Linked DNA regions of Callithrix jacchus. The protein of the gene in region 2 purifies or fractionates together with the protein of the main gene of each other region. This does not show direct contact. Links are inferred from orthologs where the notes say so. Each region holds a gene or a part of one and is shown on either strand. Other genes may lie near its edges.

What was found.
Region 1: the proteins of SLC9A6 (region 2) and MBLAC2 purify together in Homo sapiens (co-immunoprecipitation; 3 studies listed by BioGRID and IntAct, counting the BioPlex papers as one, with this or other methods). This does not show direct contact. The link is inferred for Callithrix jacchus from reciprocal best matches to the Homo sapiens genes SLC9A6 and MBLAC2.
Region 3: the proteins of SLC9A6 (region 2) and CLGN purify together in Homo sapiens (co-immunoprecipitation; 3 studies listed by BioGRID and IntAct, with this or other methods). This does not show direct contact. The link is inferred for Callithrix jacchus from reciprocal best matches to the Homo sapiens genes SLC9A6 and CLGN.

What each region holds. Positions count from the first base shown.
Region 1 is NC_133503.1:120,289,857-120,293,978, reverse strand, and holds the start of MBLAC2 (acyl-coenzyme A thioesterase MBLAC2), read right to left. Parts: upstream 2,909-4,122; 5' UTR 2,423-2,908; coding exon 1,969-2,422; intron 1-1,968. UniProt on the Homo sapiens protein: Acyl-CoA thioesterases are a group of enzymes that catalyze the hydrolysis of acyl-CoAs to the free fatty acid and coenzyme A (CoASH), providing the potential to regulate intracellular levels of acyl-CoAs, free fatty acids and CoASH.
Region 2 is NC_133524.1:132,789,188-132,792,839, forward strand, and holds part of SLC9A6 (sodium/hydrogen exchanger 6), read left to right. Parts: intron 1-3,159; coding exon 3,160-3,359; intron 3,360-3,652. UniProt on the Homo sapiens protein: Endosomal Na(+), K(+)/H(+) antiporter. Mediates the electroneutral exchange of endosomal luminal H(+) for a cytosolic Na(+) or K(+).
Region 3 is NC_133504.1:56,554,376-56,558,027, reverse strand, and holds part of CLGN (calmegin), read right to left. Parts: intron 2,890-3,652; coding exon 2,674-2,889; intron 1,551-2,673; coding exon 1,425-1,550; intron 1,214-1,424; coding exon 1,054-1,213; intron 1-1,053. UniProt on the Homo sapiens protein: Functions during spermatogenesis as a chaperone for a range of client proteins that are important for sperm adhesion onto the egg zona pellucida and for subsequent penetration of the zona pellucida.

The DNA.
Region 1 (4,122 bases), on a different chromosome or scaffold from region 2:
GGGTGGAGAATCCAGCTCCTAATGAAAAACAACTTTGATAGCACAGTACTATCACCTTCAAAGTGTCTGGTAAACAATCTTTCTTTTCACCCCTTTAAAGGCTTAAAGCACCACACAAGTGGTTTGCAGGCCCTTTCCAGCTCCAAAAATGTTAGAATTCTGCCATCAGCTGGGGGTTCTAGTCCCAGCTCTTTCCCAGATGGGCTATGTGACCTGACACATGATACTCAGGCCTGCATGGATTTTCCTCATCTATAAACCAATCCCCATGATTCTTTAACCTTTTATTTCCCATTGCTGACACAGAATCAAAAGTAAATATCAAAAGTAATTTATTCTTTTAAACAATTTAAATATACTTTAATACTAATGTAAACATTTTTGGTCTGGGTATCAGAATTTTGTCTGGATACCCATCAATGGCATGGCAATCTTACCTCTAAAAGTAGCCATTTTTATCAAGAAATACAGTAATTAAGTATAATTTCAATGTAAATTAAAATTTAATATGCATGTACTTTCATCTCATATTGTCAGATAATGTAAGACTCCCATCTAAACCAGCTTTTTTTAAAATTTAGATTTAAAACTTTAATGAAGACTTTTGTTGGGTGGGGGTGAGGTACAGAATCTTGCAATTTTTTTTAGCACTGATAAATAGTGCAATATAATTTTAAAATATATTGGAATTTAAAAAATATCTCAAATGAGTAAGATCTCATATGTGAAATAAACTGATTTTTGTAAAACATTTCATTATTTGCCATACTGTTTGGTCATAAAGTGAGGCTCATTATACTGTAGCAACTGGATTTTTCTACCTTACAGAGAGGCACGTTTTAATAAACCAAATTAGCGATTAAAATGGCCTCAGGCTAAAGGAAAGGGGCCTTTCGCATTCTACACAGAATTGTCATCATATATTTATGAGGTCGGATTTATGTATGTTCTGCATGCTTTGATCTATTGTGCCTGGATTCATATCCAAGCTTTTATCATGATCTGGCTCAGGCAAGCCATTTAACTGGGGAGTCACTGGCCTCACTTTAAATGTGTTATGAGGATAAAATGAAATCAAAAGTATTCTAAAAAGAAAATAGAAAATTAATATACCAAATACTGCTGTTATGGCAAATTAGCTCAATTATTTAAGTGCCTGCGTAGGGAGAATGCGCTGAGGCTCTAATCTATTTATTTCCACTCCATGAATTTCTCTAATTCCATACCTGTATTTCACAGAGCCAAACAGGACCTATGCATTAGTCCACGTAATTTACCTCCACCGAAAATTACCTCCTTTCTCAGGCTTTGCTTTCAATCAGACCAGATATCTGTCATAAAGCAAGACAGACATATTCCACGTTTATGATTACTAACAAGCATTTTCTCTCGTGAGGCAACATCAAGAATACAAATCTACCTGAAAGGTTTCCAATCCATTAGCGGATTGGAATCACTGGTCTGATGACTTTCTAAGGCTACAGGTGGACACTGCCCATGCCCGGTGGTGACCAAGCTGATGAAATCTGCAGTTCTCAAAGGCACAGATCATGACACGCACTATCCGTGAGGCATCATTCTTAAAAGTCTACTCACTATGTAAGCGCCTGGAAATGTCGGACAGGTGCTTAGGGAAAGAATGGGAAATCCCTAGTCAGTCACAAGTCTCTGCAGTGTTACTACCGTTGCCGACGCAGGAAACTGGCTAGGGAGGGGGTGGTGCGTGCTTTCAAAGGAGTACTCAGAATCGCTACAGGGTGCCAGAGCTGATCTCTGGCAGGGAAGTCTGTGAAGGCCTTGGCGCTGGTCAAGTGGGTTTTTAACTCAGGGAACGGGGAAACAAGTGGTTCTAGGAGGTGCCAAAATAAATCCCCTTATCGCCACGCAGGTCTCCAACATGCGGCACTCGGACAGTCTCTTCCCAACACCCTCCCTTAACGAGAGCGCGCGCCCGAGGGGGCCCATTACCATCCTGCAGGATGAGGCTGGGCTGCACCGCCTGTACCCGGAACTGTCTGGCCCTCCAGCCGGGGCTGGGCGCCCGCACCACCTCGCTATCGGAGAGCCAGGTCACAGTCTCAAAGTTGTCCCCGCGAGCCAGAGCCTCAGCCTCGGCGTGGTGCACGGCCACCCGGTCGAACTGGTAGAGGCCGCCGGAGTGGTCGAAGTGCACGTGGGTGGCCACGGCAAGCAGCGGCCGGTGCGCCGCATCCTCTTTGGCCCCGCGGTCCTGCAAGAGGCCGGAGGAGTACAGGTACTCCGGGAGGCTGCGCAGCCCCAGGCCTGTATCAATCACCACGTCCTGCTCGGAGCCGCGCACCAGCCAGATGTTGGCGCGGTTGCCTGACTCATAGAAGCGTTCTTGAATCCAGAAGATACCATCGCCTAGAGACTTGTGGGCGTACCACTCGAGAGCCGACATGCTGGGCAGGGGTGCAGCCAGGCAGGATGAGTGTGGGCGTGCGTGCCTCCCACAGGCTGGCTGTCCAGACACCAGGCGCTGCGGCTGTGTGGAGCGTTCTGCTGCAGCCAGAGAGGAGGCGCAGAGCGAGGCGGGGGCGGGGAATGCGGGGGTAGGAATAGGAGGAGGAAGGAAGGACGCAGACCCACGCTACCTGGAGCGTGCGCTCCCGCACCCTCCCGCCAGGTCGGCAGCCAGTAAAGGCTGCGCCACCTGCACCGAGGCACAGGAGCTACCGCAGCCTGTACAGCTGCAGCTCGAGGGAGATTTAACGCAGGGGCCACTGCAGCAGAATGGAGACTCAGGAGGCGACTATTTCCCCACCCCAGGAGTGTGGCAGCAGAGACCCGGAGCGAGCAGGGGAAGCGCTAGGACCGCCCACCCACCAGCTTTCCGCGGTGCGCACTCCCAGCTGGCGCGGAAAGTGAGGGGCCTAACGGGTTGTCCGGTGACTACGGCGACTGCCAAGGCCAAAAAAGCTCTGTGCCGAGGGGATGGGGCCTGCCTAGGGAGTGGGCGGGGCTAGTTGGTAGAGCTCACCCTGCAGTTCTGGGACCGCCGGGAGGGCGGTGCGCGCTTCTCCCGAGGTGGAACCCGCGGCGCTGGAACGCCGGCGTCCTCTGCCAGCACCCCTTCCTTGCCGGCCGGCACTTCGACTGCAGAGTTTTGCCCACGCTTCGAGACTTAGGGAGCAGGTAACCGAGGAAGCAATCGAAGACTTGGGAGGGGTGGTGAGGATAGAGGAAAGTTAAAGGGACACGTGGAGAAGGTAGGGGGAAGTCGGGGTTAGAGATTATTAAAGCGCCTCTGGGTTGAGGGGCGTTTGGAGATGGCTTGGTACCTCCCCTGGTGCTGCTCCCTTCAGAATCTTTTTTAAGTCGAATTTCCAGATTTTACTTAGTCTCCGCTTCTGGGACTGTTTACAGTGAGTTAGAAGGGTAGTCTCTTACTTACAGTAGGTGATTTTCAGAATCCGGTGACTTGATGATTTGTTTAGGCACTAGTCATTGCCGCAGATTGAAGCTGAGGACCGACTATTCAGCATCTATTTTCGTAACTGTTGGCACTTTTATATCGTAGGGATGGGAGCTGTTAATATGGTTTGTCTTTTCTTCTAAAAAATAAAATTCTATATCCACTCTCTTTTTTTTTTCTTTTTTTGGTTAGTCTGCCCTTGGAGGAGGGTAAAGAAAGTTGGTAGTGAAGTTCAACCAAGGAAAGAGGGAGAACCTGGTGAGGACGGGAAAAGTGAATAATGACTGGGTGTGGCCCCGCCAGCCACGTAAATCACCCGCACTGTTAACATCAGGTCACTGCATCCATTCCCCACACTTCCCAGCTATTGAAGCAGCTATTTAGGTTTTGGGTTTTTTTTGTTTTTTTGGTGAGACAGTCTCACTCTGTCGCCCAGGCTGGAGTTCAGTGGAACCTCCGTCTCCTGGGTTCAAGCGATTCTCTTGCCTCCGCCTGCCAAGTAGCTGAGATTACACGCGCCTGCCACTGCATCCGGCTAATCTTGTATTTTTAGTAGGAATGGGTTTCACTCTGTTTGCCAGGCCGGTCTTGAACTCCTGACCTCAAGCGATCCGCCCGCCTCGGCCTCCCAAAGTGCTGGGATTACAGGCGTGAGCCACTACACTGGCCTGAAGCATCTATTTAAG
Region 2 (3,652 bases):
CTATTAATAGGTCAAACCCAAGACCTATATCATAGTTTTCTTCCCATTTTGTTTGCTCCCCTGGTGATCTCATCTACGTTTGACTTCAACCATCTTATGACTGCACAGTGTGTATCTCCAGTTGAGACCTTCTGCTCTAGCTCCAGATACCACATACTCAACTATGCATGTGTCACAAGTACATCCAACTCAACGTGTCCAAAACAACATAGCCTTTTTCCCTGTAAATCTGTTCATCTGTCTGTGTTCCTTACCTCATTGAACAGCCTTGCTATCCCCTGGGTGCTCAGGCCAACTTACTTACCTGGTTACCAAATCAACTAAGGCTTCTCTTAGTCTTTCACCTCCCTTCCTCATAGTCTGTTCTACTCAGTCACTAAATCTTACTAAAATATAATACCTTCTAAAAATCCTTCTCCTCCCTTCTCAGTTCTCTCTTAGGTTTAAGACCCAAACTCTTATGGCCTGAATGCCTGCAATAGCCCTGTATCTAGCCTTTTAGACTCTCTCTAGTCTAGGCCAGTCTTTCTAAAGTAGAAATCTGATACGAAGCCTCTGCCTTCTATGATTTCATTTTACTTTTCGGATAAACTAAAAGCTCCCTTCCCCAACAGATAAGATCTTTTATGATTCAACTCCTGCCAATCTTTCAAACCTCAACTCTTGTTACTTTATAAGCCAGCCATACTGAACTACTTGATTCCCTGGATGGGCTGTGTTCTCTCCATCTGTGACTGGATATGTGGTACTTACTATTCCCCTACTTGGAATAGACCCATTTCTTCTAGTTGGTTACCTGCCCAGGTGATGTCTCCAGAACGACTTCCCTAATATCTTACTCCCCCAGGCTTGGGTAGGTGTCTCTTTTGTTTTTATAATACCTTGTATACGTATATATTGCATTATGATTGCTTATTCAGTCTGTTTTCACTAACTGGACCGAGTTTTCCTTGAAGGAGGGACGTTGTTTTCATCTCTGAACCCTGGAGGCCTATCTAGCATAGTTCACTCATTTACATATGAAAAAAATGGCTGGCTAGTCAGAAAGAAAGGCAATAGAAAGGCGAAATGTAGCTAGTTGTGGTATACTATGCATCTTGGAGTTGAGGAAAGTTCTAGAAGTTTGGGTTATATTTGTAGTTGAGGTATGTTCATGCAATGAAATATTGTTTGGCCATAAAAATAAAGGAGGTTCTAATCCATGCTACAACATAGATAAACCTTGAAAACGTTATGCTAAGTGAAAGAAATCAGACACAGCAGGCCATATATTATAGGAGTTTATTTATATGAAATGTCTAGAAAAGGCAGGTCCATAAATAAAGAAAGTAGATGAGTGGTTGCCAGGGACTGGGGATTGGGGTTGAGGGGGAATGGAGAGTGACTGCTAATAGGTGTGGGGTTTCTTTTTGGAGAGATGAAAATGTTCTAGAATTAGAATTAGATATATCCAACTCCATGAATATACTAAAGACCACTGAATTGTACAGTTTAAAATGATAAACTTTTGGTGTTTGAATTAGATATCAGTAAAGCCATTATTAAACAATTACAGTTGATCAATGTAGTATTTTTTTTTTTTTGAGATGGAGTTTTACTCTTGTCACCCAGGCTGAAGTGCAAGGGTGCACTCTCGGCTCACTGCAACCTCCACCTCCCAGTTTAAGCGATTCCCCATCAGCCTCCAGAGTAGCTGGGATTGTAGGTGCCCGCCACCACACTTGGCTAATTTTTGTATTTTTAGTAGAGACGGGGTTTTGCCATGTTGGCCAGGCTGGTCTCGAACACCTGACCTCTGGTCATCCACCCACTTCGGGCTCCCAAAGTGCTGGGATTACAGGCATGAGCCACCATGCCTGGCCCGATCAATGTAGTTTTATAGGGCCAGGCGTGGTAGCTCATGCCGAGGTGGATGGATTGCAAGGTCAGGTGTTCGAGACCAGTCTGGCCAACATGGCAAAACCCCGTCTCTACTAAAAATACAAAAATTAGCCATGCATAGTGGTGGTACATGTCTGTAATTCCAGCTACTTGCGAGGCTGAGCCACGAGAATTGATTGAACCCGGGAGGCAGAGGTTGCAGTGAGCCGAGATCACGCCACTGCACTCCAGCCTCGGTAACAGAGCAAGACTTCATTGTGAAAAAAAAAAAATTAGTTTTATGGCATCTAGTACATTGTGCATATTTGAATGTCAATAGGATGATCCAAGTAAAATCTTAGCAATCTGTTGATGTCATAGTGCCAGATTCAGGACTTCTAATCCACGTTTTGATTTTAAAGCAGGTATTTTAAAATTAAAATCTCACTTCTAGAATTAGAATAACCCAATCAACCTACAAACATTATTGGCTTTTCAATTTGTTAACTATGTGTTATTTGGCCAGCCATGTGCTTTGAGAATAAACCTGGAAGTGCATTAAGTCTTGTAAATTGATGGATGGATGTGAAAAACACGTTTCTTTTCTTTTCTTTCTTTCTTTTTTTTCTTTTTGAGACAGAGTTTCCTTTGTTGCCCAGACTGGAATGAAGTGGCATGGTCTCGGCCCACTGCAACCTCTGCCTACCAGGTTCAAGCAATTCTCTCACCTCAGCCTCTTGAGTAGCTGGGATTACAGGCGCCTGCCACCACACTTGGCTGATTTTTTGTATTTTAGTAGAGACGGAGTTTCGCCATGTTGCTCAGGCTAGTCTCGAACTCCTGAGCTCTCAGGCAGTCTGCCTGTCTTGGCCTCCCAAAGTGGTAAGATTACAGATGTGAACCACTGCTCCCGGCCAGAAAACAGATTTCTGACATGATTGCACTGCTGAGTCGGGACACCTTGGAGCATATTCTGTCTACAGATGATTTGAAGATATTTTCTCCTTTTGTTACCTCCCTCATTACTTCTTTAAATATTGATCTAGAAATGCAGGGATCTGTGCTGTTGCCTAGGGAATATTTTTCTCTCCTGTTTCACTGGATTATATGAAGATTGGGCTGTTGGTTGTATGAATTTAGTAATACTTTAAAATATAACTGCATTTCATCTGAAAACCAGTTCTGAGCTACAGGGAACTACCTACCGTAAGAGATTTTCTCTTACCTGTAGTTATGCATGGGATACAAAAGAAATGATCTCTGTTGGCAAGAAGAGCTTACATTGTTCTTTTTTTCCAGGTCTTTTGGTGGGCCTTGTGCTTCGGTATGGCATTCACGTTCCAAGTGATGTGAATAATGTGACCCTGAGCTGTGAAGTGCAGTCAAGTCCAACTACCTTACTGGTAAATGTTAGTGGAAAATTTTATGAGTATACGCTGAAAGGAGAGATTAGTTCACATGAACTCAATAATGTTCAAGATAATGAAATGCTTAGAAAGGTAAGTTCTTAAAGGAAATCTTTGAATTATTTTTGTGTGTCTAACAGCAGAATGATTCAGGAGAAAATAAGTAATGAATTTTAAATGCTATTTAAAATAATGAGTCTTTTTAAATGAGGTAAAACCTCAATTAACAAACGTAATATGTAAGGAAAGGGGGATGCTGTGTGACTCATTTTCTGATTGAGGCTAAGTAGTATGACTCTTTTTGTTTTACTCTGGGTTGTTGACAGCTTGTGATAAACAGAGACTGGGATTGAGTTAAGCAGAATCTATAAGCGTTTCTTTCCATT
Region 3 (3,652 bases), on a different chromosome or scaffold from region 2:
TTCCTGTGTTCTTGTCTTGGGAAATACTTCCTTTACTTTTTGGTGATCTTTTATTTGTTAATATGCTATTTATTTATGTTTGTTCTCTGTGGACATTATCATGCATTTTTTCAGTTATTGACCCTCCTTAGGATTCCATTTAGCAGAACCTCTAACTTTTGTTATTATCATTACCAAAAGATATTAAGAATGTTCTAGGAGCCATATAAAGAAAAACCCCTACCCCACCAAGAATGGGCTCTGGGGAAAAGAAAAGATGAAAAATCCACTCTACTTCTTCCATGTAGTTCTCCATCCACAGTGTGGGACTACGTGTATAGGTGAAAGTACCTTTATACAAGCAGGCCCTTCTGATACTCAAATGCCCTCAAAATAAGGTTGATCCTTATTTTGACATCAATATCACTTCATCAAGTGAGTGAAAAATAGTGCTTCAGGATATTTGGCTTGTGACACTGGGAAAATCAAGTTTTATTTCTGCCTCATGTAGGGAGGTCTCAATGGAGAGCCACCAAAGGGTGACTTCAGTTCTAACACCTTCAACAATATAATATTGTGTGGGAGGGGGATATAGGTTCAGTAATCCTTTTAGAAAATTAATTAAATTATTTTTCTACATGATAAGCATCTGATTAGCAATAGCCATTGGAAGACTTGGTGTTGATTTTGTTGCTGCAATCATCTGCTTTCTATCTATTCCTTTTCTATAGAGGCTATGATATATACCCTCCATCATTCTCCTTCTCATCTTCTACACTCCCAGAGGCAAGAAACATCCTTGCAAAAAGTTATGGCCTATGGGATTCGTAACTGCTAGGCTCTGAAACAACTGAACACTATTTAAATCTCCTTCTTCCTAAAACACAAAAACTATAAACAGGGTGGCTGCTCAGAAGACTATTACTTCTCTTTGCCATAGTCACACATTCTTGGGAGAGTCAGATGTATAAACTTGATAATAAACAAGTACGACAGCTAGTTATTTCAAGGTAATGTACTGTTTTTATGAGCTTTAACCAGGGTCTCCATTACGAATCATTATCATTGTCTTACCTTTTTCAAGCATTTCACCATCACTTTGCTTTCTTTCCTCTTCCAGGTCTATTGGTTTTTCCAGGGCTGCTTTCTCTTCCTTTACTTCTTGCTCTAGTACTCCCTTTGTTTGTGGTATACATATGTCGGGTTTTTTATACTCTGTATCTTTATATTTCTTCTGTGGTAGTTTAACATAAGTTATTTTTACTAAAGGCAGAGCATTATTTTGAAAAACTTTTTTTCAATAATTGACAACATAATGAACTATCAGTAAAACTTACAAAACATTTAATTTATTACTTTTAAGAATCACTTGCTCAATATATATAGAACTCTTGAACAATAAAAAATTTGGGGAAAAGAAGTTGAAGGAAATCTATTTTCTTTACCTTTACTTTTCTTGGCCAACAAAATGAAGTAATTAATGCTATTGGCACTCCTCCTGTCACGAGATAAATCAACCAAAGCCATGGGTGCCCTTCAGTAGCTGCCATTAACTGTTTTAATACACCAGGCTGTAGATGAGATAAGCATAAAAATACAATTCAAATTTTACAGACCTTTACTGGGTAACACAAGATACAAAGAACTTATTTACTCGGGCATTTTACATTAAGGAGTGATGAACTTGTAAGTAAAGGAAGTTTCATTTTCCCACCTTATACTTTGTAAAGTTTAATTTAATTATTAGCATGTATCAAGGAGTGAGACTTTGTAGCAGAAAGTATGTTATGACAAAAATGGAAACTTCTAACACACTGGCAAGAAATATGGTAATTTTCCTTTTTGGTAAATTTCAGAATAGAACTATCTTTTATGGATGTATCACCTGGTTCATTTGAAGTGATCATTCATTCTGTACTCTGATCATTCATTCTGTACTTTTAAGGAATTTACTAAAAATCATACCTCAGAATTGTTTTTTTTTTATATAAACACATTTCCTACACAAGACCCTCAATAAGGATATTATTTCTCTTATTAAAATAAAATTAAAAACCATTAAATGTTTTAGTTACAAGAGGTTCAAAATGAGAATCCCTCTTTACCTATTCTTTTGATGGTTTTTTGCTAATGACCAAAGCAACTAAATGTAATATATGAATTTTTCTTTATAGCAACTGAATTTAAAGATACATTTCTAAGATGCATTGTGTTGAAATATTTAGCTTAACCTTTTCTAAACAGTGTTAGATATGGGGGAAAAACTGGAACAGAATTTAATAATGTTAAACTATAAATTCTTTGTACATTTCTCTAAGTAAAAAATAGTTGAAATGCATAAGCAGTAATATTTAGATTATTGTTAGGCCTTGAATTGGCAAGATAACAAAGATATTGAGTAGTCTTCCTCTATAAACAGTAATTAAGCCTTAAATCCCATTAGAGCTATTATAATTTAATGAATAAAATGAGGACTTACATATGCATATATAGTTATGTAGTTTGTAACGAAGCAACATAAAAGGCAAAATATTCTGTCTACATAAACTTATTCAAACATATTTCCTTAGCATTTAATAATTATTGCACATTTATTTCCCTTTAAAAGAGACATCTGAATAACCTATAACCAAGACCAAGTCTTATTATTATTATTTATAGTTATATCACTACTGCAATTGGTCAATACCATACCTCATTAGCATTTGCTATCATTATTTTCCATCTCCAACCATCTGCAGCCCAGTGATCTGCTACTTCCTTTTCTGAACAGATAATAAAATTATCAAAGTAGATATCAGAGGTCATGGACCAAAGCTCTAAACCAAGAGCACTGAAGGAAGTCAGAAGAAATGGATGATCATCTTCAAAATAATCTGGATTAGGAATTTTTCGAGGACTCCAGACTCCCTGGAAGAAAAAGTAATTGAGGAGATTTTCAAATAAAATAACTTCATTATAAATGCTGCTTAATAAGTATCTGCTGTTGAATAAAATTAGCAATGCTAACTGGGAAAAAGAAAACTTTAACTGATATTAATTCACAAGTAATATACTGGAAATAAAATCTTGTTTCTTTTTGCTCTGTAAACAATGGTCTCTATGAGTGATACTGACTTTAAATACTACAAAAAAGGAAAAGGGAAAATCCAACAGACACAGAAATATAAGTAAATTTCACAATTTATTTATTTTAGATATTTTTTTAGATTTAGTAAAGTTATTGAATGCAAGTTGTTCAATTTGTCCAAATCAGAAAGATCACTGTATAGCAAAAATGGGGTCATTCCATTTAACATATACCTATGACAGGTATCATTAATCAGGTATGGATGAATCTCAGCACAACTACTCAACATAAAACTTCCATTAGATCCTAATTGATTAAACTGTCAATTAAATCAAATACATGTGAAAATATCATTGCTCACTGACTCACTCTACCATCACATGTATGTATTCTGGGCCAGGCACTATGCTAGATGATGGAGACATACATGGTTCCTGTATTATGGAGTTTGAAGTCTAATGAAAGAGACAGACGTTAAACAAAAAAATTAACCAAAAGAAACATTTTGTGTTAAATGCTTTTAATAAAAGCTACAGTGAGTACTTAGAATATGAAACTGCATATATATAATGTTAGAATGTGTCCATAAATAATTACAAAGAT